Linked DNA regions of Saccharomyces cerevisiae S288C. The protein of the gene in region 3 interacts with the protein of the main gene of each other region in a biochemical or structural test. Each region holds a gene or a part of one and is shown on either strand. Other genes may lie near its edges. The genes, in order: CIA2, RAD3, CIA1 and MET18.

Region 1 (2,767 bases), on a different chromosome or scaffold from region 3:
TCCCATTTTATACCTTAGCTTGTTTTTCTTATTCTACACTTCTAATTCCTACTACGATGCCATTGTATTCTTAGCCACAACGTAATTTCTCGACAAATATACGTATGCTCAGTCCAGCCCTTTCGCACAATTCCTCGCGTAAATATGGAAGCTTGTGAAATTTTATGAAAAGTGAGACCAATCGTAAGAATAACACTGAACGAACGCCAGGAGGCTACTATAGGTCGAGAGTTCGTTAATGTACATAAAGGTTTGATATGCGATACTCTTTGATGAAGAAGACAAAGAAAGTTATACCTGTGTTCTGTATTTTGCCATTTGAACAAAATAAACAAGATACAGGAACCAAACCATTGTAAAAACCGTTATTTAATCGATTGGAGAAAATACTATATAATAAAATGTAGCTATAGCTGTGTTATACAGTGAGAGCACATTGTTAAATTTACATGTTTTTTGATAGCTTCGTGAGTAAGGGAAGCAAAAAGAAGAATCCCCGTTTACTTACAAGTCACTAACATCTTAGAGACTACACCCAACAGTTGTTCATTCTCACATGCAGCTGCTACACGTTCCTTATCATTTAGTTGTTTATTTACCTGGTTCTCACTATCATGAGTACCTTTCTTCAACAAAATAGTAATTCTAAATCTTGGGGGAAGAGACCTTTCTAACCTGACCCGTATCCCCAGACCAATCAACGTTGCCAGAGAACAATGGGTAATTGTTGGTGTTATTTTGATCACGACTTCAGCCATTTCGTTCTGGTTTCCTGAATCATGAACATCAATATCTTCCAAATTTACAACAGAGAGTTGTCCCAGACTTAACGGGTGCTCAGGGTCGGAAATATGAGCTATCAAATCATATATTTCTTGAGCATCAATGAGATCAGGCTCTTCCTCCTCCTTTCCTCCACCCGCTACGGATTCATCCTCGCTTTCTGCTGGCAAACTATCCTCATCGGAAGTCAGTTCTGGTGGAATTCGAATGGAAAGAAGCTTGTCTAAGACCTCTATATCTTGCAATACCTGAGACTTTAAAGAATGGTCTATTTTCAGCAAAAGGCTTCTCCTTTCCAGCGTAGCTTCGTTGCTGAACCCGCCTAACAAAAGGTCCTTGGTACTATCTTCTTTTCTAGTGGGAAGTTGGTTCTCCTCTAAAATGTCGGGATTTTCATTCAAAAACTCAGACATGTGTACTATAAGTGATAACAGGAAATCGTAGAATAATGCAGTAGCAAGATTTTATATTCGACTGGATCTTGAAATACTCGATTTTTTTGCTTGTTAGTCATCACTTATTCGCATTTAAATCTAATTCAATTATTCAAACACCGTACACCCAAGCATTGCGACTGAGAAGAGAGTGGTGGAATATTATAGTTTGATAAATAGAAAAATCTGTAGACTCAAATGGATCTCTTTATAAACAATAGTTGACATTATAGAAGTACGGATAAAATATATAACGTATATTATCGTTTCCGTCATTAATTAATCTATCCACCTTTCCTACCATCGTCTTGTTCTAGCTGCTCCCAGCTTCTTTCCACTATTCTTTGAATTAATGTAATGGATTGGTTACTTCCCTCATGTAGCACTTTGATATCTTCGACCTTGTATGGAGGTTGCACCTTAACGTCATCAAGAATAATGATGTCTTTAGCCACCCACTTAGTATCTCCTATGGTCTTGAAGATTTGATCGAAAATGAACTGACCCTCTGCACTCACACCCTTGCCCCTTAAGAGTTCTTTCTTTTTAGATGCTATTACACTTTCTTTCAAAAGCTTCTCAACTCTTTCCACGTTGACATATGAGGGTTTGATTTGTTGCTTTTTGAATGAGTTAAACGAGGGCTTATCACCAATGACTTCCAAATGCTTGATGAATGTACATTTTATCACCTTGAAGTTTTGTGGAGATTGATTCTTCTTTGTTGTTTGGATAGTAAGAGTGTTGTTGGATGAATTGAACGAATACAATCTTCCTTCAGTAACTACATCCAACACGTTCGTAACTTTTATTCTGAATCCGAGCGTTTGCTCAAGGCTGACACTCATGGACGAAAGATGCAAATTGATTTCTTTAGTTACAAGCTTAGATAACCGCTATTTACAAGCCTGGCTCAGAGTGTTTCCTTACCGTAATAAATATCCACCATTATATTCATGGTATAAGGTTTGATCGTTTTGTTTCCGCTAATATCATTCGCGCGACAAACTACGGAAATTTGCAAACTACCGTTTTTGCCATTTTCTAAGTATCTTCACAGTCGCTTTTGAAAAAAAAGACAGGGAAATTGATTCCACATCTTATTATATTACATGTCAAATTATATACAATTAATAGTTGTATTCAAAAGTTATCCCAATATTTCGCGGGCTTCTTTTAACGCTTCCATTGGAAATCCGGCCAATTCCGCAACTCTAATGGCATCTGATTTCGTGCAGATGCCCGGCTTCAACTTATGGTTGTAACAAAAATTGTTTCCACCTAAATCAGTGATTCCGCTTTGGTAAAACTTGACCTTTTCGCTCATTCCTTTCGAACATTTGTTATCAATGATTTGCTTCAGTTCTTGACCAAAATGTGTAGCAAAAAGCGTTCTGCATTGATTGTTCTCTAACAAATACTTTAAAGTTGCATAAGCGATGCTAATGCCTTCTTTACCACTAGTCCCACGGCCAATCTCATCTAGAATAGCTAAAGACCGTTCCGTAGCTCCTTGCAAGATGAACGATGTTTCTATCATCTCAACCATG
Region 2 (4,539 bases), on a different chromosome or scaffold from region 3:
GGAAAAATGTAAAGAAATTAACGTCGAGACGGTCTATGATATAATGGCCCTTGAGGATGAAGAGAGGGATGAAATTTTAACGCTTACTGATTCACAGCTTGCGCAGGTCGCCGCGTTTGTTAACAATTACCCCAACGTTGAACTTACTTATTCGTTGAATAATTCTGATTCGTTAATTTCAGGTGTAAAACAGAAAATTACCATTCAATTGACAAGAGATGTTGAACCTGAGAACTTACAAGTAACATCTGAAAAGTATCCGTTTGATAAGCTAGAAAGTTGGTGGTTGGTTTTAGGTGAAGTATCTAAAAAAGAGCTTTATGCGATCAAGAAAGTTACTTTAAATAAAGAGACTCAGCAATATGAATTGGAATTTGACACTCCGACATCTGGTAAACATAACTTAACAATTTGGTGTGTCTGTGATTCATATCTTGACGCAGATAAAGAGTTGTCCTTTGAAATAAATGTGAAATAAAATCATTGTTTAGTCCTGGATAATCGAATGGATTTCAATATATAACATTCTCTTGCGGCTATTTAATCTAATTGTGATATATACAGTTTATAGCAAAAGCGTATCATTGCATCACTGCATTTCTATATCTTCATCTTCATCTTCATCCTGTTCTCCTTCTTTGTTTTCGTTTTCAATAAATCCACCTTGATCTTTTCTGCTATTCTGGTGCTTTATTAAATCTTCATAACTCCAAACAGATACACCCTCTTGGTCTTTAGGGTCTGTGGGTTGTGCCATTGTTCTCAAGAATTGTTTGGTATTGGATATGGCCATGTCAGTCGAAAGGTTCAAATCGGCGTCAGACAAACCTTGAGCAATCCATTTTGGTAACTGGCTTCTTTTTCTTGAAAACCTACGGTCTGCTAGTACCATTACACCATAGTCGTCCTTCCCTCTCAGTACTCTCCCCAGACATTGAGCTGCATGTCTCATCGCATCGAAAGATAAGAAGTCGTTTTCTCTGATGCGATAGTTCTCCCTCATGAATTCTAGGCGAGCTTTCAAAATACGCGATTCTGTGTATTGAAACGGGATACCTATCATCAGCACAGTTCTGCCATATTGATGATCAAAATCGATACCTTCAGATACCTTTCCTCTAGCAACAGAAAGCAAAATTGCCCCACGCCCATTTGAGCAAGCCTTTCTATAGGTTTCTAAGGCTAAAGAAGTTTCTTGAGCATCAGGAGTCTCAACTAAAATTAATTTATGTTTCCAAACTTCGTCAAGAATACCCATTGTTTGCCACATTGAAACAATACTTTCCATATATAGATATGAGGGGAAAAAAACAACCATTCCATCAGGTGTGATCTTGGCAAACTCTACTAGCATAGAACCGTAATTACGAACAATACTAGGATCGTTTCTGATTTCAAATCTTGAAGAAATTGCAACTTGATCAGAACCCTTGGTAATAATCATTGGTAGAAATGATTTTTTGGCTAAGGTCATGGCATATGATTTTTGTAAAACAGTTTTAAAGTTTAACATTCTTGGATACATGTCTAATGGTGATATGGTCCCTGAAGTGATAATAACGGAAGAAAATCTCTCAAAGACTGGTTTGATGGCAATCGATGCATCTAAGCAAGTAAATCTCATAATCGGATTCGGAACTGCAGCATTTTCGATTTCATACGGTTCAATAATTAGTAAAAACCCTTCCTCATATGTTGATATAAGAGTAGCAAAAGTTGCTATGTCTTTCAATGCAGTAAAATCTTCTACCTCTGTAACTTCTAAAGTTCTTACAAGTAATGATAGCCTTTCTGAGCAAAACCGAAGAGGTTTCCTTTCTATGAAAGTTAACTGTTTTAAATGCTGTAGAAATGATTTTGGCGTTTCTGAAATAACGTGAAGAACTTTCATTCTGGTCTTCAGATATTCTATCAATCTTTTCAAAAATGAAACAAAATGCTCGGCTCTTCGTATATTTCCCGGGATTGCTTCTGTTAGAAGATCTTGGGGCAATACAGGTGTTTCCACAAATGGCTCTTCCTGGTCGGTAAGAATATCTGCAGAATGGAGACCTTGAACTAGTTTTTCGTATTCATCCTGTAATTTCTGTGAGTCAACCTTTCTGACCTCAGAAATACGTTCATCTAACGCATTAGCACCTCGTGTGGCTCTTCTCAATGCATCCGTTGTCAAGTCTAATGACAGCGATTCGATACACACATTATCAATATTGTGCGCTTCATCAAAAATGACAATGCTATCTTTAGAAACCTCGTTGGAAACTCTTTCAGCAATTTTAGGATCTAATAGATAATGGTAAGAATAAATAATAATGTTACAAAGAGAAATCATACGACGAACAATAAAATATGGACAAAGTGTTTTTTCTTCGCAGTATTTCAAAAGTTTTTCAAAAGAAAATACGCCTTTTGGAAGATAATCCTCTACTTCAATATTGTACAAATTCTCATGGTATTCACACAATTCTACATTTGCCTCTGGATCCTCTTCTAATTTTCTCTTCGCCTGCCCATTTGTCATTCTACGGCACTTTTCATCGACTACTGTACCTTTTCGTTCCTTACTCACTTCGGGATGCAAACACAAATTTTTTCTTGATGTCAAGCCAAGACCTCGAAAATCCTCTTGATAGCCTAGTTCTTTAGTTCTGTAATCCATAAGGTTCTCTAACTCTACTAAAGCTTTTTCAATTTCAGACATAGTACGAGAACAATATATGATCTTTCTATGTTCTGGGTAGTGCATCTGGTAGGCAATTGTGAGGGATAGTAATGAGACCGTTTTACCTGTTCCTGAAGGCATCTCCAAGATACTATTTCCACCTACATCCAGAGTCTTTTTAATATCGCACATATAATTATACTGCTCTGGATATATCTTGGGGTATGGAAAAAGCACTGGTAAATCATCTATATAAAACTTCATTGTTTCCAATCTTCTTAAAGTGTAGTCAAATCGGGCCGATTATCACCTTCAACCCAAGATGAAATATAGTATTTCTATGAATGGCTAACAGTACTTTGTCAACTTTAAGATATACATATATATATATTTATTTATTATTTACAGACCAGAGATTTCTTTTCAAAAGCTATGTAGCATAAAGTACGCTACTTTAATTTTTCATAAATTTCATATACATCGCTTAAATGCCGTCGGCCATGATTAATATAGGATTAACTCATATCATAAAGGCTATTCAGAATATTCAAAGTGAACTGTAATCATTTGGTTGACGAGATGCTGACTTCCAACTAGAGTCACGGTTTTTCAAAGTCTCGGGGAAGGTTAACATATACTTGCAGTTAGTGTAGCGTTAAATCACCCTATTAGCCGAATTTGCTGGTTATAAGGTTCAATAATTTCGGAAGATAATATCTGATGTTTCCCCAGAGACGGTACCAAAAATCCCACTTTTTTTGTAATAATCTTTTAAAGGCTCATTTGTTTTCTTGTACTCTTCTAGCCTTTTTTTAAACACTTCCGCTGTGTCATCAAGCCTCTTGGTCAATGGTTCTCCGGTGATATCGTCTAATCCTGGCACTTTGGGAGGATTATATTGTAAGTTATACACTCTCCCACTAGGAACGTGAACATATCTGTTCTCGATCCTTTCTAATATGGTGGATTCGGGTACATCTAGCTCTACCACTAGATTCAAGCTGGCGTCATGCTGTTTCAGCAGCTCGTCTAAGGCAGAAGCTTGCGCAGTAGTTCGAGGAAATCCATCGAGCAACCACATGGCAGATGGTTTTAACCAACCCAATGCCGAAAGACGAAAAGTTATCAGACGCGTTATGAGATCATCCGGTAATAACTTGCCTTGAGCAATGTAGGTAGTAGCCTCTCGGCCTAGGGTAGATTCAGATTTTATTTCCTGACGTAAAATGTCGCCTGACGAAATTGAAGATAATTGTGGAATTTGCTTTAGTAATCTCGAAGTCTGTGTCCCTTTACCTGACCCTGGAGCCCCCAATAATAAAAGTCGAAGAGGTTTGAGTAGATGTGTTATTTGTTTCGCGTCTGCTTTCATTGATGCTTGCTAACCCTGTTCCTGAAAATTTAAAGATTTACAAACAAATATATATACGTATATTATCCTTTTCTACACATGTGTATCTATATAATGATGGTTATTGTAATGGTATTTATTAGTGAATGTGGGTTTTCGCGAATTCCCGGCCGACCGAGCACATTTTAAGAGCCTTCAAAATGAGAGATCTCGGTAAACAACTGGCAATCGTGAGTCAGTTTAAAGGTGTACTCTGTTGATTAATGGCCGCTTTCCCGTCCTGCGGTTGCACTGTAGGGTTCATTATTGGAGCATCTACTGTTGTTTCGTTTGAAATACACGGTATTTTCTTATTCAAGTGCTGCAGAACGTGATCTCTCCTTTTAAATCTTTTGCCACATTTGGGACAAGAATGAGGTTTCTCACCAGAGTGGACGGATTTTTTGTGTCTTGTAAGATGGTGACCAGAAGAGAACTTTCTTTGGCATTCCTTACAAATATAAATCTTGTTCTTACCTGATAACAC
Region 3 (3,088 bases):
TAACGTTTTCTTTCACTGATTCGCTCATCCTAATTCTTGAAAAGAAGTATAGCCACTATTTTTTCGACGAAAGAGACTGTATCAAAATGCACTTTATGGATCTTTTTCAGCTAGGTATGCGCTCGACGATTTGTTGAATATGGCTGAGTGGGCAGTCGTTCAGATGCCCTTTTCAAAATCTTAAGAGAAAATCAGAAAATATAGCTATTATTAAGAGTGACCGCGAGTATGAAACTTTCAGTGTAACCTTTCTTTATTCGAGATAATGCTTAATTACAAGTCTTCCGAATATCTAATTTTTTTTTTTTTCATTTTTAAATTTCAGTTTTTACCGCATGCTTTTAATGCAGGGATATGTATAACGAGGTCACTCCGTCACACATGACAGAATTGCGTTATAGTGATACAAAGGTTTATGTAACTAGGTAGAAAAATCGTCATTAAGTTTATTTTTAGAATTCAGATCGATCACTGTGTTAATATGAGTTCCTGAATTGTACTCTTGCTTCTACATCTACGCTGCTTTTTCTAGAGACCAGAAATTTACGATCCCGTCGTCACCGCCTGTTGCAAGTATAGTTTTACCATTTAACTCCAACCACTTCACAACGTTGATTTCATAAACTCCATGACATAATGCACGTTTAGCAAAAACTTTCCATTCTCCGTCTACTTCTTCATAGACCGCTAGTACTCCATCCGCTCCTACACTAGCAATGAGGCCATTAAAGCCCCATGCAACATTGTATACCTGTCTTTTGTGTACATCCGGGAGAATAGCTTCACAAACCCATTCTTGTTGATCATCCTCGTCGTCACCCATGTATTTCCATACCCGTACAGTGGAATCGTCGCTTCCACTGCACAGTCTAAACACGCCCTCAGTCTTGTCAAAATCAGAAGACCAAACAGTTCCTTCATGGCCATTTAAGACAGCAACACATTCCCAGTCATCGTCATAGTCTTTCCATATCCTGACGGTGTCATCATAAGAACTTGAAGCCAGTAATGCTTCAGATGGATGCCATATAACATGTTTAACGTCTTGTGAATGTTCTTGCAAAACACTAATACACTCATATTCCTCGCCACTTTCATCTGTTTCCCATATCCACACGCTTTTATCTCTGGAACAGGTTGCTAGGTAATATCCATCATTCGACCACGCTACACCTTTTACTTCATTTTCGTGACCTTCGATAATAGCTAGCAGGTCCATCTCGAAAGTTCTGTCAGCAGATTCTTCCTTAGCCCAGATAGATACAGTGGAATCAAAAGAGCCAGCCGCTAACAGCGAAGTGTGAGGTCTCCACGCCACAGATCGAATCGCCTTTTTATGAGCAGTCTCATCTAGCACATCAATTAACGTAAAATCGTCATATTTCACGCTAACTAGCTTAATTTTTCGATCAGTTGAACCTGTTGCTAATATACCTTGAGAAAAGTCAAAAGACCATATCTTTTCCTTGTAAAGTTTCAAAGACTTAATCAGATTGATAGACGCCATTACCAAATAAGTAAACCAATTGAACTATTAAAATGTCGTGGTATAGCCCGATTTTGATTTGTGATATCTACAAATCTAGTATTTATTCGCAATTAATGAGGCAAAGACGATACAATATTCGATGTGAGATTTTTCAAAACACGGCCCGCTGAGAGCAGAAAGTTTTAGATGACCTATTTGAAGGCAATCACGATGGTATTTTTCAAGAAAATAAATAGTAGTAACACTGCTATGCACATCAGAGTCAGATTCCTTAAATTCAAACGTTTCTACAATTAGTATGACCTTTTCTTGAAGATCTTTTTCTCCTTATAAAGGCAACACAAAACAAGATAGAAGTGCAAAGGTATTTTTTGTTTTTCACGTGATAAAATCGGCTTCGAGAAAGTAGAAAAGGGTATTATGATTTATTACAGGCTACCTGCACCATCTCAAAGGTTTTACGTTACTAAGGAGTGAATCAGGTTTTGATAAATATTTACACTATCTTTTACAAGGAAGATGTCGAATAAGCAGGCGGTTCTGAAGTTAATCAGTAAAAGGTGGATAAGCACAGTGCAACGTGCCGATTTTAAGCTGAATTCCGAAGCGCTTCATAGTAATGCTACGGTATTTAGTATGATTCAGCCAACTGGGTGTTTCCACCTTGGTAATTATCTAGGTGCTACACGTGTTTGGACAGACTTATGTGAATTAAAACAACCTGGCCAGGAATTGATATTTGGAGTTGCTGATTTACACGCTATCACTGTTCCAAAGCCAGATGGAGAAATGTTTAGAAAATTTCGCCATGAGGCAGTAGCAAGTATACTGGCTGTCGGTGTAGATCCAGAAAAGGCTTCGGTGATCTACCAATCCGCCATCCCTCAACACAGTGAATTACACTGGTTGCTTTCTACTCTTGCCTCGATGGGATTACTTAACCGCATGACGCAATGGAAATCAAAATCGAATATCAAACAATCAACTAATGGGGATTATCTGGTTAACGATTCTGACGTGGGAAAAGTTAGACTGGGCTTATTTTCGTATCCTGTTTTACAGGCAGCGGATATTCTACTTTATAAATCTACACACGTTCCTGTTGGCGATGATCAATCGCAGCATTTGGAACTAACAAGACACCTTGCTGAAAAGTTTAACAAAATGTACAAGAAAAATTTTTTTCCTAAACCTGTAACTATGTTGGCACAAACGAAAAAAGTTTTGAGCTTAAGCACGCCTGAAAAGAAAATGTCCAAGAGTGATCCGAATCACGACTCTGTAATTTTTTTGAATGATGAGCCTAAGGCAATTCAGAAAAAGATTAGAAAAGCTTTAACAGATTCCATTTCTGATAGGTTCTACTACGACCCTGTAGAAAGACCAGGCGTATCGAATTTAATTAACATTGTCAGTGGCATTCAAAGAAAATCGATTGAAGATGTCGTAGAAGATGTATCTCGTTTCAATAACTATAGGGATTTCAAAGATTATGTTTCAGAAGTGATAATTGAGGAATTGAAAGGCCCAAGAACAGAATTTGAGAAATATATCAACGAACCGACCTATTTGCATAGTGTCGTTGAATCTGGCATGCGC
Region 4 (5,455 bases), on a different chromosome or scaffold from region 3:
GACATAGAGCCCAGTAGTTCGGCAAAAGAATTCCAATTCGAAGACTTAATTAAACTAGTTGATATAGAAAGTGGATCAGTAGTTTTTAACTGAGTAAAAACAATCTCTTCTAGCTTATCAGATAAATCTTCTTCTTCATTGCTGGAAGCCTGCTTAACAATTTCATTTAGCACCCTGCATAGGATGTATATACTAATCAGAGATTTCCTATCTGCAAGGAATGCTTCTTCTTTTGCTACTTCAATTGTGTTCTCTAAACTTTTCAATTGTGAGTTCGCTATGGATGGACTTGAAGTAGCGCTATTGTTACTGCTACTAGCTTTGATTAACGGAACTTTGTTGTTGAAAGATGAGGAAACGTGCCTTTTCATGCCAGGAAGATTATTGGTATTGTTATTATGTTTGTACTTTGAGGTTGTATTACTGGAAGATCTTGATAGCCGCCTATTCATTAAAAAATGAGCCTGCGAGGGATGTGCCTTTTCAAACTCATACTCTTTTAATAGTTTTTCCATTTCTTCTGAAGCAGAGTTGGCCGCTTCAGATTTAGTCTTCCTCCAAAACATCATTGCATCAATCACAGGTTTCGGTTTTTTCTTTGCAATGTGACCTAGAGATTTAATAATTTCATCAAAGCTGGGATCAACGCCTTCACCAAGAATTTCTACAATTGGGGGTTCCGCCATGTCCAACTGCTGTAGACACATATTTAGTTTGTTCTCCGCGTAACGAATAAACTTTGTAAAAAGTATATGAAGAGCATATTCAGAGGGACTTTTCCAATCTGTAGCCATTTGCTGTCTCAAAGTAGTCACGTAGTCCTCTGCTACTGATTTTGCTGTAATGTCCGGCGGTGCTGATTCTTGCATTCTTTGCTGCTTTTGTTCAGGTAGTAGCATTGAAATCTTGTTTTGATCACTTTGCTCCTCAACAAAGGTAGGCGGAAGAGCTTGACCTTCCCCCGTTCCTTGTTGCTGTTGTTGCCGTAAAAGTAATTGATTATTTAGAGAGGTGCCTTCAGACATATCAGTAGGAGATGGAATATCAATAATAGGTGCATCCGTAACGGATTGGTGAAGAGGAAATGTGTTAAGTGGCGCTTCGTTTATTTCCTCCAAGACATCCTGGCCTGAAGGATCAATATCTATTGATATCTGGTTATTGTTGCTAGAACCTTCTGCTTTATTTGTCGGTGGGAAGGTGAAACCAATGCCTTGATCCCTCTGGGGCGGGAAAGTAAATCTCGAGGCCATTTTGATGTATAACAAAACTAAAAAGGGTTATTAAAATGGGAACACAACAAACAACCAGAATTTTCACACTTTAACCAGTCACGTCCTATTATGAAGACCTAAATCCACATTTGCTTTCTCTCTTCATTTGCCTAATCCTTTATCCCAATTTCTACAGTTCTATATGTATTTTCCTGTGTGGCTGTCGTTTCGTGGTTAGTGATACAACCATAACGATTCAACCAACTCCCAATGTATGTGATGTTGATACCGCTAATTTGGAAGGGATGGTATACTCTAGGTGACCTCAATGAGTCAAAGAGAGCTAGGACATACTTCGAGATAGGTAATACCACTTTGCAGCTTCTTTTTAGGCCTTCATGAGTGAGTAGCCAAGAAAAAGTTAAAAGCGGGTAATAGGTATGAATTTTTCAAATACTGAAATTTGGTTTAGTTATTTAAGTGAATTGTAGATTATGTACATTTTACGTGCAATGAAGGAGTCACCTCTATGATCATCTAGTTATTAGCTGTTAGTTTTCATTGAACTTGTTTTAACTGGGAAAAAGCGGAACAATTGGGCCTTACAATGACACCAGACGAACTAAATTCAGCAGTCGTCACCTTTATGGCCAATCTGAATATTGATGATTCGAAGGCCAACGAAACCGCTTCCACAGTAACGGATTCTATTGTACACCGATCAATAAAATTGCTGGAAGTTGTCGTTGCGTTGAAAGATTATTTTCTTTCAGAAAATGAGGTAGAAAGGAAGAAAGCGTTGACATGTTTAACCACTATCTTAGCAAAAACTCCCAAGGACCACCTCTCCAAAAACGAATGCTCAGTAATATTTCAGTTTTACCAGTCTAAGCTTGATGATCAAGCGCTTGCAAAAGAAGTCTTGGAGGGCTTCGCCGCATTAGCTCCAATGAAATATGTCTCCATTAACGAGATAGCCCAACTTTTGAGATTATTATTGGACAACTATCAACAAGGCCAGCATTTGGCATCAACTAGACTGTGGCCATTTAAAATTTTGAGAAAAATATTTGATAGATTTTTCGTCAATGGATCCTCGACCGAACAAGTCAAACGAATCAACGATTTGTTTATTGAAACATTTCTTCATGTTGCCAATGGTGAAAAAGACCCTAGAAATTTACTCTTGTCATTTGCACTTAATAAATCTATCACATCGTCCTTGCAAAACGTGGAGAATTTTAAAGAAGACTTATTTGATGTCTTATTTTGCTATTTCCCAATCACTTTCAAGCCACCAAAGCATGATCCTTACAAGATCTCCAACCAAGATTTAAAAACAGCTTTGCGATCAGCAATTACTGCGACGCCATTATTTGCCGAAGATGCTTATAGCAATTTGCTGGACAAACTCACTGCTTCTTCACCGGTAGTGAAAAATGATACACTTCTGACGCTATTAGAATGCGTTAGAAAATTCGGCGGCTCTTCTATATTGGAAAATTGGACGTTACTTTGGAACGCTTTGAAATTTGAAATTATGCAAAACAGCGAAGGAAATGAAAACACTCTACTAAATCCGTACAATAAAGACCAACAGAGTGATGATGTGGGCCAATATACTAACTACGATGCTTGCTTGAAAATTATTAATCTAATGGCATTGCAACTATACAATTTTGACAAAGTATCATTTGAAAAGTTCTTCACTCATGTATTAGATGAGTTGAAACCAAATTTTAAATATGAAAAGGATTTGAAGCAAACCTGCCAGATTTTGTCCGCTATAGGTAGTGGGAATGTCGAGATATTTAACAAGGTCATTTCGTCAACTTTCCCCTTATTTTTGATCAATACATCTGAAGTTGCCAAACTTAAGCTGCTGATTATGAATTTTTCTTTTTTTGTTGACTCGTACATTGATTTGTTTGGAAGAACATCTAAAGAATCGTTGGGAACACCGGTGCCAAATAATAAAATGGCTGAATACAAAGACGAGATCATAATGATTTTGAGCATGGCCTTGACAAGAAGCTCCAAGGCAGAGGTTACCATAAGGACTCTATCTGTGATTCAATTCACAAAAATGATTAAAATGAAGGGCTTTTTAACCCCAGAGGAAGTTTCACTAATTATTCAATACTTCACGGAAGAAATATTAACGGATAACAACAAAAACATTTACTATGCTTGTTTGGAAGGGTTAAAGACAATCAGTGAGATATATGAGGATTTAGTTTTTGAAATATCATTGAAGAAATTATTGGATTTGTTACCTGATTGCTTCGAGGAAAAAATTCGAGTAAATGATGAGGAAAATATTCACATTGAAACAATTTTGAAGATTATTCTTGATTTCACCACTTCGAGACATATTTTGGTCAAAGAAAGCATTACATTTTTAGCGACAAAATTGAATAGGGTAGCTAAAATTTCGAAATCCAGAGAATATTGCTTTCTACTTATTTCAACCATATATTCTCTTTTTAATAATAATAATCAAAATGAGAACGTGCTAAATGAAGAAGATGCTCTTGCACTCAAGAATGCCATTGAGCCAAAATTATTTGAGATAATTACTCAGGAATCGGCCATTGTAAGTGACAATTACAATTTGACACTTCTATCTAACGTTCTTTTCTTCACCAATTTGAAAATTCCACAGGCTGCACACCAAGAAGAACTAGACAGATATAACGAGCTTTTCATTTCTGAAGGTAAGATAAGAATCTTAGACACACCGAATGTATTGGCTATTTCATATGCTAAAATATTATCCGCACTAAATAAAAACTGCCAATTCCCCCAAAAATTTACAGTGCTTTTCGGAACGGTTCAACTACTCAAAAAACATGCTCCAAGAATGACGGAGACTGAAAAATTAGGATACCTGGAATTGCTGTTGGTCTTATCAAATAAATTCGTCTCTGAAAAAGATGTGATAGGATTATTCGATTGGAAAGACTTATCAGTAATTAATCTTGAAGTGATGGTTTGGTTGACTAAAGGGCTGATAATGCAAAACTCATTAGAGTCATCAGAAATTGCAAAAAAGTTTATTGATTTACTGTCTAATGAAGAGATTGGCTCACTTGTATCGAAGCTATTCGAAGTTTTTGTCATGGATATCAGTTCTTTGAAGAAATTTAAAGGTATCAGTTGGAATAATAACGTTAAAATCTTGTACAAACAAAAATTCTTCGGTGACATTTTTCAAACACTAGTCAGCAACTATAAAAATACCGTGGACATGACCATTAAATGCAATTATTTAACTGCATTATCCTTAGTGTTGAAGCATACTCCAAGCCAATCGGTTGGTCCTTTTATCAACGATTTATTCCCGCTTTTATTGCAGGCTTTGGATATGCCTGATCCTGAAGTAAGGGTATCCGCTTTAGAAACTCTGAAGGACACTACGGATAAACATCACACTTTAATTACTGAACACGTAAGCACAATAGTTCCATTATTACTATCTCTTTCGCTTCCGCACAAATATAATAGTGTCAGTGTCAGGTTAATAGCCTTACAGCTTCTAGAAATGATTACGACTGTAGTACCTCTAAACTATTGTTTGAGCTATCAGGACGATGTTCTAAGCGCTTTAATACCAGTTTTATCTGACAAAAAAAGAATAATAAGAAAGCAATGCGTTGACACAAGACAGGTTTATTATGAATTAGGCCAAATCCCGTTCGAGTAAACGCTTGTATTTAATAATTTGTTCACATTGATGAGCACGTGAAAATCTTAGCGAGTATACTAAGTAAATATGATTCTTTTATGTATAGTACAGCAAAATAGCATTTATTTTTATTACGTTTAATCTTCTTCACTAGAGTCTTCCTCGTCGCTTAGTCCTACAGGTGCCAAACCCGGTGTCAGACCAGGATATCTATGATCTTTAACAAAATCGCTCTCTTTGATATCTTCCTTGAATTGTTTTCTTTTGAACCTTCTTCTTTTACTCCTGTCTGTGTTCGCAGTGGAAACTGTATCCTTCAAGATGGATTGCTGAATGTCTTCAAGCTCATCTCGTACTTCCTCTTCTAAATCCCACGACCTCAAATTTTGAGAATTCCTTTTGATTAACTTATTCAAATACTTCCTCTCATGGTCCGTTAATGTGCCCTCATGTTGATGTTTTTTCAAAACCTGGTGTTTTGCCAGTTGTTCAAGTTGCTCTTTATCTAATTTATGTTTCTTAACTTTTTTTTTTTTGACCAGTTTGCATTTTT

Evidence for each region.
Region 1: the proteins of CIA1 (region 3) and CIA2 form a complex in vitro, tested with the Saccharomyces cerevisiae proteins (2 studies listed by BioGRID).
Region 2: the proteins of CIA1 (region 3) and RAD3 form a complex in vitro, tested with the Saccharomyces cerevisiae proteins (one study listed by BioGRID).
Region 4: the proteins of CIA1 (region 3) and MET18 form a complex in vitro, tested with the Saccharomyces cerevisiae proteins (one study listed by BioGRID).

Annotation. Positions count from the first base shown.
Region 1 is NC_001140.6:352,054-354,820, reverse strand, and holds CIA2 (iron-sulfur cluster assembly protein CIA2), read right to left. Parts: upstream 1,197-2,767; coding exon 501-1,196; downstream 1-500. Other genes in the region: EPT1 (bifunctional diacylglycerol cholinephosphotransferase/ethanolaminephosphotransferase), read right to left, coding at 1-6; LSM12 (Lsm12p), read right to left, coding at 1,502-2,065; mismatch repair ATPase MSH1, read right to left, coding at 2,368-2,767. UniProt on the Saccharomyces cerevisiae protein: May play a role in chromosome segregation through establishment of sister chromatid cohesion.
Region 2 is NC_001137.3:525,469-530,007, reverse strand, and holds RAD3 (TFIIH/NER complex ATP-dependent 5'-3' DNA helicase subunit RAD3), read right to left. Parts: upstream 2,927-4,539; coding exon 590-2,926; downstream 1-589. Other genes in the region: ATP-dependent RNA helicase BRR2, read left to right, coding at 1-478; adenylate kinase ADK2, read right to left, coding at 3,357-4,034; RPH1 (Rph1p), read right to left, coding at 4,249-4,539. UniProt on the Saccharomyces cerevisiae protein: ATP-dependent 5'-3' DNA helicase.
Region 3 is NC_001136.10:1,001,996-1,005,083, forward strand, and holds CIA1 (iron-sulfur cluster assembly protein CIA1), read right to left. Parts: upstream 1,508-3,088; coding exon 515-1,507; downstream 1-514. Other genes in the region: E3 ubiquitin-protein ligase HEL2, read right to left, coding at 1-28; tryptophan--tRNA ligase MSW1, read left to right, coding at 2,009-3,088. UniProt on the Saccharomyces cerevisiae protein: Essential component of the cytosolic iron-sulfur (Fe/S) protein assembly machinery. Required for the maturation of extramitochondrial Fe/S proteins.
Region 4 is NC_001141.2:111,985-117,439, forward strand, and holds MET18 (Met18p), read left to right. Parts: upstream 1-1,821; coding exon 1,822-4,920; downstream 4,921-5,455. Other genes in the region: TAO3 (Tao3p), read right to left, coding at 1-1,253; RRT14 (Rrt14p), read right to left, coding at 5,040-5,455. UniProt on the Saccharomyces cerevisiae protein: Key component of the cytosolic iron-sulfur protein assembly (CIA) machinery that mediates the incorporation of iron-sulfur cluster into apoproteins specifically involved in DNA metabolism and genomic integrity.